Arabidopsis thaliana: one gene and its partner. The protein of the gene in region 2 interacts with the protein of the main gene of each other region in a pairwise test. Each region holds a gene or a part of one and is shown on either strand. Other genes may lie near its edges.

What was found.
Region 1: the proteins of GLYR2 (region 2) and SCL3 interact in binary tests that used the Arabidopsis thaliana proteins (3 or more experiments, as listed by UniProt).

Annotation. Positions count from the first base shown.
Region 1 is NC_003070.9:18,677,148-18,682,082, forward strand, and holds SCL3 (scarecrow-like 3), read right to left. Parts: upstream 3,154-4,935; 5' UTR 2,857-3,153; intron 2,616-2,856; 5' UTR 2,479-2,615; coding exon 1,030-2,478; 3' UTR 547-1,029; downstream 1-546. Other genes in the region: AT1G50410 (SNF2 domain-containing protein / helicase domain-containing protein / zinc finger protein-like protein), read left to right, coding at 1-30, 114-218. UniProt on the Arabidopsis thaliana protein: Probable transcription factor involved in plant development.
Region 2 is NC_003070.9:6,068,798-6,074,102, forward strand, and holds GLYR2 (glyoxylate reductase 2), read right to left. Parts: upstream 3,333-5,305; 5' UTR 3,168-3,332; coding exon 2,984-3,167; intron 2,889-2,983; exon of another isoform or gene 2,792-2,888; coding exon of another isoform or gene 2,785-2,791; coding exon 2,703-2,784; intron 2,586-2,702; coding exon 2,520-2,585; intron 2,407-2,519; coding exon 2,331-2,406; intron 2,244-2,330; coding exon 2,188-2,243; intron 2,001-2,187; coding exon 1,916-2,000; intron 1,823-1,915; coding exon 1,762-1,822; intron 1,600-1,761; coding exon 1,547-1,599; intron 1,459-1,546; coding exon 1,388-1,458; intron 1,306-1,387; coding exon 1,233-1,305; intron 1,157-1,232; coding exon 1,052-1,156; intron 962-1,051; coding exon 797-961; 3' UTR 627-796; downstream 1-626. Other genes in the region: AT1G17640 (RNA-binding (RRM/RBD/RNP motifs) family protein), read right to left, coding at 105-301; AT1G17665 (CA-responsive protein), read right to left, coding at 3,635-3,671, 3,838-3,965, 4,206-4,304, 4,384-4,471, 4,673-4,725, 5,076-5,305. UniProt on the Arabidopsis thaliana protein: Catalyzes the NADPH-dependent reduction of glyoxylate to glycolate as well as succinic semialdehyde (SSA) to gamma-hydroxybutyrate in vitro.

The DNA of each region.
Region 1 (4,935 bases), about 13 Mb from region 2:
ACTGTGGAGGATAGAATTTTGGCTCTCCAGGTAAAGATCCCTTATAGCTGATACTTGTTTCCCCCCTCAGTTTCTCTCATTTGTGGTTGTGTGATTTTTGGTTATTATTATAGGAAGAGAAAAGAAAAATGGTTGCGTCTGCCTTTGGTGAAGATCATGGTGGAAGCTCTGCAACTCGATTAACAGTTGATGATCTCAAATATCTATTCATGGTGTAGCTGTTCTTAAATCTTGGGTTGGCGAAGTTTCGCTTCTTTCAGAATTTTGATCATGAGCTGCATTCTTGTGTTCTTCAGGTTCACAGATTTGAAATGAGGAAATATGTAAATAACTTAGCTGTTGTCTCATAGTATATATAACATCAGAGTATATACTTTTTCTGAATCAGTTCATCCGAGATCTTCTTTCCTTTTGGGATCACATTACTCTTTCAATCTTATTATCAAGGTGTTTTGATCATGCAACACTTTTGCATGAGAAACACTCTGTGAATTTGCTAAGACAAGATAAAGACTAGATTGCTTAAACAAAATTCAAATATAAATGAAGCAAGAAGATTAGGTTAAACTAGATTCAATGTAAATGAAGCACGTGAACTTTAGGTTACAAAGTATTTGGACAGCAGATAAGTCGTATACTCTTTGGATAGTGAACATGTCCTTTAGTAACCTAAATATATATACCGAGTTTAAGTTATTTACAATACACAAATGACAAGATCACCTGCTTAAAGATAGGCAAAGTTTGGCTGGTCTCTGAAAGAATTTGGAGTTCTGAACTTGAACCGATCATCAAATTAGTTATCTTCAGCTCAAATTGGATTTGGTTTGGTATTACACCCACACCAGACCAAATTGAACCAACACACAAAGGCTTTACATGCAGAGGCAGTAGAAGCATTTAAGCCAAAATAGCATAAAGAGACAGAAAGTCACCATCACAAAACAACTAAGATTGTGTCCCCATGTATACAAAAAAGAAAGGGACTCTGCTCATAACCAAAATAGAAGACAAACTGTAATATATCATTCACTTCCTGCATCTCCAAGCTGATACCGAGTATAGAGGTCGATCTTGCCAGCAAATTACTGCGCACCCGCTCTCTTCCTTGATTCTATACCCATCAAAACCGCACCCTTGAAGCAATCTCCTAGCCTGCAACATCGCATAATAGCTAAGAGGAACATTCCCAAAACCAGCCAAATCGATCCTCTGGCTCCATTTCTCAAGCTTCTCGTGTCTTTCTCTTCTCTCAAATCCCTCGCAGGATATGATGTTCTTGATCTCCTCCCCGAAGAGCATCTTCTCCACTTTGATCCTATCTTGAGACGTTCTTGGAACTTTTGTTTCCAAGCAATCAAACAATGCTGCGTAGGTGTAAAGTGATTCTAATAGCCTCTCCATTAGTGTGGAGCCGTTGTGGTCTGAGTCTTGCTCAGTGACCACCATGACCTTTGGAGACAAACCCCAAATAGCATTGAGGAAGCTATCAGTCCTTCCTGAACTTGGTAAAGGCAAAGATGAGGCCGAGTCACCGCTAGGGCTATACCCATTGTTGTTACTCATATCATTCTCACGTGCCTCAGCTGCAGAGCCATGGCTCATCATTAGAACTCTCTGCAAGTCAACTCCACTAGGGTTGTTCTGAAACCGTAAAGCGCAGTTCTTTCTCATGAGATCATCATCAGAGGCCAAGAAGGTATGCAATTGAAGAACCGAGCTAACGGCTAAGGCCTCTCCTGTTTTAACCCGCAACTGTTCTACATTTAAACAGTCTAACCTACTCACAACGGGATTAAACTGAAACGGGATATCGAGTTTCTCTGCTTCCTCAATGAGTCTATGAGCCATTTGTTCAAGCACTTCCTTCTGGTGATGAACACCAGTGATTCTCAAATGAGGTGGACCTTCAGGCCTAGAGTTAAAAGCTTGAAGCAAAGCAAGCCATTGAGCTGGCTCAGAAGCATCGAGATCAATCACATGAACCATCTTCTCTCCTTCCATAGCCTCGAGTATAGCTCGATTAGTGAGCAAGTAAGAGACTTTGAGTATCGGGAACATCTCAAAGAAGAGTCTTCTAACATGAATCTCCTCAGAGACATTGTTAGTTCTTGTCTGAGTTGCGTTAAGAGCCTTGTAAAGACCAGGCCAGGACTTAAGGATTCTGTTAGCAAGCGCTTCGGTGAAGTAAGCAGCGATTCGCTGCATCGTGTCGCCGTCAGGAGAAGCGAGGTGAGAGAGCTGCTCGAGCGCTGCGTTAGCGTTTTGGAGGCTACCTGAAGCCACGTGGTTGGCACAAGTTAGCAAGAGGTGGATTAAGTAGAGACCACGCTCCTCTGGTTTGAGATCTTTGAGACAATGAAACGGAGATGAAGAAGCGAGGAGAGTCGGTCTGTTGAGTGACATAGTTGAGAAGACTTGAAGTGGTGATGAAGCTACAGAAGATGTTCCATTATCTTCTTGAAACATAGCCACCATTGAAGGCCAAAAGCTTGATTTTGATTTACTCAGAACCAAAAGTAACCTTTTTTGTAAAGAAAGATTTAAACTTTGAGAGACTCGTAACGAGAAGAACCAAACCCACGATTCGGAATTTCTTGAAAGATGCAGAGAATCTGCAGTTTAACAAAAAAGGGGGTTAAAGAACAGAGGAACTAGGGTTTGCAGAGAAAGTACTGAATTTTAAAAACCTTTGAATCTAGTTAAACTATTTGAAATAGATATAGACGAAGAAACACAAACAGAGAGCTGAATTAAAACTTTCCTAATTTGATAAACTAAGAAAGAAACAAAACAAAATAATAGCAAATGATCAAAGAAGATAACAAACAACAATAACCAAAGAAAAAAACTTACATGGATTTAGAGAAAATGTCTAAAGCTTTTTTTTTGGGAGTGAGAGGGTTCTCTCAATCTTTATCTCTCTATCCACGTCTCTGGTGGTTATCTTGTGAGTAATAGCGTGTGTGTGAAATGTTGTTTGTGTTTTGGGAAAAAACTTTAAGAAAGAAAACACTAAAACAGAGGCATTGTTCCTTTTGGCTCTACGTACCAGACAATGCGTGATAGTCGGTTTTGTCTTCTTCCTTTTTGTTTTTTTCGTTTCCTCTTTCTTCTTTCCTTGGTTTTAAGGAATTATTAAACAAAAGGTTGTCAAATTTTCCAATCCCATCCATCTATCTTATACTATTATGTGTACTAGTACTACATGAATGAATATCATATAAGAATACGTATTTTGATTTTGAGTGCTCTTAAAGTGGTGTAACATTAATAAATAAAACTGAATGAGAGTGTATTAGCTTATGTTGCATTTATAAATAAAACTGAATAAGAATACATCCATCAATCTTATACTATTATGTGTATTAGCTAATGTTGCATTTTCATTTTCTTTTAAATTTGTAAGACTTGTAGGAATTAGTCTTATTGATTATTTTTATAGTTATTATTTTATATAAAGTCAAGATAAGAGAAGTTTCACCTAGAATTTTCTTGATTTAGAGGAACTAAGAAGAAAAAGCAACACTTAATTATGAAGGAAGAAGAAGTTCAATGAACCCATTTGGCATTATACAAATTGGAATTATCTTATAATAGATACATACACGAATACAACATATATGTCTGTATTCGAGATTGGAACCTCCACTTTTATGGGTTTTTGTCATGGCATGAGGTGGATTTGGAATCATGACTATATATTTCTACATCAAAAAAATTGTTAAAGAGAAAAAAAGAAAGCTGTTTTGGTAAAATATTGATTCTGAGAAGAAGGAAACGTCCAAACACGCCCTAACAAAGACAAAACAAAACCCAAAAACCATCTCTTTTGTTTTTGTTGTTTTGTTAGAAAAACAAATAACAATAAAAGAGATGAGGCTGAGGCTTGGGTGTGGGATTTGTCTGTCTTCTTTAAATGTTCATTGTCTTTTCATTACTTTTCTCTTTGTCTTTTTCTTCTTTTTAATGCCTACATTTTTGTCTTCTTCTCTTCTTTCTCTCTCTCTTTGTTTTTTACTGTGTGAGAGAGAACATTATTCAGTTTTTAAACTAAAAAGACCATTGACCAGAGAGATTCTACAGAAAAAGAATGATGCTATTTTACTACTATTGTACCTCAACTTTTTTTTCATCTTATCAATAGTAAAATAGTACTATAAAGTGAGAAAAATATGCATCCATAACAACACAGTAAAATTGTTTTAGTATGAAATTTGTTTAGCTTTGACTACAAATTAGAGAATGGTAAGTTTTTGTTATTAAAAACTTTGTAGTTAGATCTCATGATATCCAAACATAGAATCACAATTTTGCTGAAGGAGCTTGGTACGAAGACCGCCTCAGAAGTAAATGATGGTTCTGTTTTAGCAACTTTGGATGCTGCTACTCGGGTTGAGCTTCTGAGCTCCCCTTCTTATGTCTTTTTGTTTGAGCATTTGTCCTCGTAGCTTTTTGTGTATACTCTCCACGTGGAGGCAACTCTCGTTTAAAGTTGAATGAAATGTTAGTTTGACCAAAGAAAATAAAAAATAAAGAATCACAATTTTGTGAAAACTGTGTAATAGTAGTTTTGTGGATCCTCCAGAACACCAATTAAGTCTAAAAGTGAAGTCAACTTGATAATGTCGGTGAGTTCTTTGTGATTGAAAAACTGAAAGAACACTATCAATTCTTTGTGATTATTCATGTATTTTATAGGGTTCAAGTTCAATTAGTGCCTGTACTTATAAAAGACTTCATTTGATGTAGTTAAAATATTAGATGGATGAATCAACTTATTTGATGCATTAAGAAGCAGTATAATCAAAATATCAAATAATAAAATTAGAAAACGGCAGGCTAACTTTGATAATCTAGGGAAATACATAAGTGTAGCTAGAGATTTGAAAACCTATAGCATACAAATCAGCAAAAGAATGTCTATCGCATCAA
Region 2 (5,305 bases):
ACAAGAAACCTCCCCATCAATATCTTAATAACCAGCTCCGCTGAGAAGAGATTAATATCAAAAGTAAATCCATACAAAAAGATAAAGCCTAAGAAACCACGAACCCAGGAGAAGACATGGACGAAGAAGAATGGCGATGGTCAACGGAATGCTTCATCTGAATCCCACCAGTATCAACGGCTGCACCACCGTTCCTCCGGTCATCAAAGGTCTCCACTTCAAAATCCGATTGTGGTAATTGTTCGTCGTGTACGTGATGATGGTAAGAGTCATCATAACCACGATCTGAGTTATAATCCATCGATCACTGCAGCTGAGTCAAAACAAAACCTTTTAATTTCTCCGTCTGTCTATGATGAAAACCCAAACTTAAAAAATGAATTTTTTTTCTCCAATTTCGATTACTTGATTCAAAGTTATGACATCAAACATTCAAAATTTCTTATCTTGGAAGAGAAAGAACCCTAACCAATATGGTTGAAGTGGAAACGGCAACGAGCTCAGGCGAGAATTTTAACACTTCAGGCACTGAAGAATTTTTTGAAACAAATGATTCGGTGTTATCAACTTATCATCGGAATATCCGAAACGGCGCCGTATTTATTGTAGTCAACGTTGGTCAAACACTTTTCTTTGTTGCTTTTGTCAACATCAGGAGATCAAAGGTTGACTTGTGTTTGACACTTTTAACTTGCTCTCATATAAAATTAACAATTATCAATTGACATGTTGTAAAGATGAAATTTTTCATACAACAGCAAAAAAAAACACATTTTCACATTGAACAAATCTTTAGCTAAGCTTCTCGGGATTTTGCAGCTTTTAGTGCTTCAATTACTGCAGAGAAATCTTCATCGCTCAACCCATAAGATTTTGCAACCTTGTAAAGCTCGTTCGCAGCGGCTGCAATCGGAGTAGATTGCGATACGGATTCCGCTAGTCCAAGTGCGAGTCTCATATCCTATAGACGGATAAAAGTCAATTACAGTCTCATCAAACTCCAGAGTCTTTGTGAGAATCTAAAAAAAGAAAGTAACACAATTACACAAACCTTCTGCTGATGCTTTAATGGAAAAGCCGTCGGGTACACTGACTTGATCATTGAAGGACCCTTTAGTGAGTACATTGGCGCATTGATAGCTCCCTGTGAGACAACCTGCAGAAAAAAATTTCCCGGGGTTTATAGCACATTTGGTAAGAAACTTTCTGCTGGACAATGGTGTTTTAGTTACCTCGACAAGTACATTTGGATCGAGTCCAACTTTCTGGCTTAGAAGTATTCCCTCCGCGAATGATGCCATCATACTGCATAGGTAAAGAGAAAAAGAGATCAGAAGAAGAATCTGGAATTTGCCAAGAAATGAAGCGATAGATGGTCAAATGATACCTTCCCATGATCATGTTGACGACAAGTTTCATTGCTGCTCCATTACCAACTTCACCCAAATAGAATTTTGACTGGATCATATAATGCAAACTAGTAACGAAAATGGTTCATTTGCAGAAGAAAAAAGAACTAAAAGCAAAACACAGGCAAAAGAGATACCTTTCCCATGATGTCTAAGAAAGGAGCAGCTTTTTCGTATAGCGGCTTGTCACCTAAAATGTCAAGTGCCAGATAGTCATAAATCTCCATTTCATTCATGATTCAACCATGTTAGAAAATACAGGCAAGTCACCCGCGAAGACAAAATAATCTGATATGCAAAAGTGATGATCGATTATTAATACAAGCTCAATGAGGAGTAAGCTGTTACGAACCTGCAGTGAGAAATATTAACTGCCCATCTTCGGCAGGCTTTTTGGAACCTGAAACTGGTGCCTATGAATATCAAAAATAGAAATGACTTAAGCCACCAGATCTGTTACAAGGTTTTTTAGTGATTCTAGATATAGATTAACTAAGAGCCTTTACCTCCAAGAACAAGGCTCCGGTATCCTTTATTTGCTTGCTGATTAGTATTGATGAGGCCACATCAACGGTTGAGACATCAACATACCTGCAGTAGCAAGGCAAGTCCCATTTTTACCAGAAAGTATCGACCACATTACTATATAGATTCGAAGAAGAAATTAAAAAAGAACGACTGTGAACTCTTCTGTAGTTACATAAGAAATACAGATATCTTGAAACATTTCAGCAATAGAACGTTATATCCAGCATAAGTCTCATGAAGGAGTAAGTACCCTTTTCCTGAACTAATCCCAAATATGGCTCCATTCTTTCCACATGCAACATCAATCTGACAGAAAGCAAAATACAGTTTTTGTTTTAATATGGAGTGAAAGTAGAAGAAAAAGAGACGCAAACAAAAGTGAGACATACGCACTGCACTTTCAGGATCAGCAAGCATTGCAAATGTGAGATCACAAGTTGCAGTCACTTCTTCAGGAGAAGACTTGTACCTGCAACAAAGGGAGATACTTTCTTAATCGTTAAATTTTTCTTCTACGTTAGCTCTAAAACCTCACTCGGAGTAAATAATATCATTCTTTATAAGAAGCATTGGAACTCTTACTTTGCTCCTAATCCAACGAGAGGATCACATTTGCTCTTAGTTCGATTCCATACAGTCACATCACACCTAACAACCAAGCCCCAGAAAGATCAACGTAAGTATCATCAATACATCAAAAAGAGGTAAAGTAGCAAAATTGATGTGAATTAGATTGTCTACACATAAAAATCAAAACTTTTTTACCCAGCTTTGATGAGGTTCTGTGCCATTGGAGAACCCATGATTCCCATACCCAGAAACCCAATGCTAACAGTTCCAAGTTCATCTGCCATACGAACCACAATTCCTCAGATAAGACTACCCCAAAAAGGATAAAGATAAGGAGATTATAGTATTCGATCATCTTTCTCGAAACTTGTGGGTTTTGTCCTAAAAAGAGAGCGACACTTCATAATTTAATCCATTTAAACGTAATTCATAGTTCTGGAAAACCAGTGTATGCATAATACAAAGCAAGAAATTACCTCTGGTAGAGGGAGTAGTAGATTGCAGGGAAGAGTAAACCCTGTAAGCGAGACAAATTTGAGGTTTTGAGAGAAAAGGGGAAATGGGTTTTGGCCTGAATCGAAGAGGGATGCGAGGACAGATAGAGCACAAAGCCATGGCTTTTGAAGAAGATGAAGCAAAAGATAATGAAACCAAAGGCATAGCCACTGGCCAGTGCGTTTGTTTAGTAGACTGTGGCCGAAATTCTCACATTTCGAGGCGGAAACTGACAGATTTTTACTGAGGAACAAAATCCACTGGCCGCGTTGCATATGCTTCGGTTTAAAGCTAATTCACAAGCAGATATAATTGTACCGGTCGGTTCAAGTGCATTTATCCCCCATGAGTCATGATGCTTGTGTTTGTATATTTTTATCAACAGTGTTTTTTCTCGAAAAAAGCCTCACTATGTACGATACTCATGCACGTTTGGACTTTGCTCAATTCAGATAAACCGAATCAGTTTGATTCAAACCGAACTGAAAAAATCGATTTGAAAACCGGGTAATGTGTTATATAGAAAACGCATCCCTATGGAGGAAACTCTCTATACACAGCACCAAAAATAGGAGAACATCAAAAAAGGATTCAGTTTTCCTGCTGAGCTCACGGCAGTTTCAATCACCAAATCATGTTCTGCAAGTTCGCAATCTTCCATTTTTATGCCTGAAAACCAACACAAGAGTGGAGAGTAAGATGGTTATAGAGGATAAGCAATATGAAGAAAGATTGCGGAAATACTCAAAAAGGCCTATACATGGAGCAAGATTCATATGAGCAAGTAATTTAGATTTACTAATAAGCTTGAGGAGAGATGGAGAGAAATGCTGACCAAAACGAGTCTTTCTTTTCCTGTTCCAATAGCTCTTCGAAGGAAATGTCTGAAAATTCATCATCTGGATTGTCTAACTCTGTGCTCGATTTGTCTTTGAGTTCCATGGAAGCGCTTATTTCAAGAACCTATAGTAGTATCATAAAGAGTATTAACGGCTTTAACTAGAGATAACCAAAAATCTCAAGGGAAGTCCCAATTATGCTAACAGAGTCCAATACAGGAGATAAGACTCTACTGGTTTATCAGACAGCAACAACAATCAGTAAGATTAATCTAGAATCAGAAACATCATTGAACAGATTTTTGAGGTTTTGGACACATAGGACACAATCTTTGGAAACAAGTGATTGAGTTTGGTTTTTAACCTTTTTGTATGCAGGTGAGAGTTTAAGCTGTTGCTGGAGCCAATTATATACAAGTGCATCTTCTTCTACTCTTTTTTGTTCCATCTCCAGCTTATAGATCTGATGACACACAAACAATTAACTTCAAAAGCAACAAACGGATAAAAATCAGACAATCAATTGATGAAGCTAAATTCACCTGTTGACGAAGTCGGTCAAAGGAAGATCTATCAGCCTTAAAGAGAAGGGCTTTTGTTATTGAAAACTTGCGCTTGATTACTTCTGACCTACAGTAGACACAATCAGGCTTAAATCAGTGTCACCGGAGAAGAAAAGGCTAACTCAGTAAAGCAACATGTCACACCATCAACATAACAAAGCATAGAACAGGAAGCAACTATTTGTAATTCCTGTGTCCTCAAAATGTAGGAAGAACTAAGAAAATGGATGAGAGTATATGATATTATGTTATGGTAGTGTTAACTTACTTGTGTTGTAGTTCATTTTTGGCTTCTATCAAACAATTAGCAAACTCCCCAACCTACAGAAGTGAAGAACCCAGAAAACATCAGAATCTAAAACTCAACTGGGCAGAATTTTATAGTAATCCAAAGTTTAGATTGAAGTAAATCATTCTGATATATCAAAAGGAAGCAAGCTTAGCTGATGATTAAGTATTGAAACCTCCCAACTCAAAAATCATTTAGTTTATCAACTGAGTTTAGTATAGGCTATTGAACAAACACCACAAAGGTATATAAACCACATAGAGGTTTTAGGATGCTAATTAAGGAAATCACAGGCTTAATAGACTTGGATTTATGTTTCAAATTCACGTTTTCCAATTTTGATTTCCATAAATAGTTAATAACCGAAGGTAAAGAAGGTGACCTGAGCTAGTGTCAATCCTTTGGCATTATTGCATTTAACAAGCTGATCGTATTGCTGCTTAATCTTCCTCTGCGTAGCACTGCTCGTCGATGTAAAAGGATATAAACAAACAAACTCCGGTTTGTTTTCCGATATCGAAATCGAGTCTGTCCTCGGATTCAAAACAAGCCCATCTTCTCCCTCACCGAGCTGCTTTTCGCCGCCGGATTCATCTCCTCTTATGTCTGATT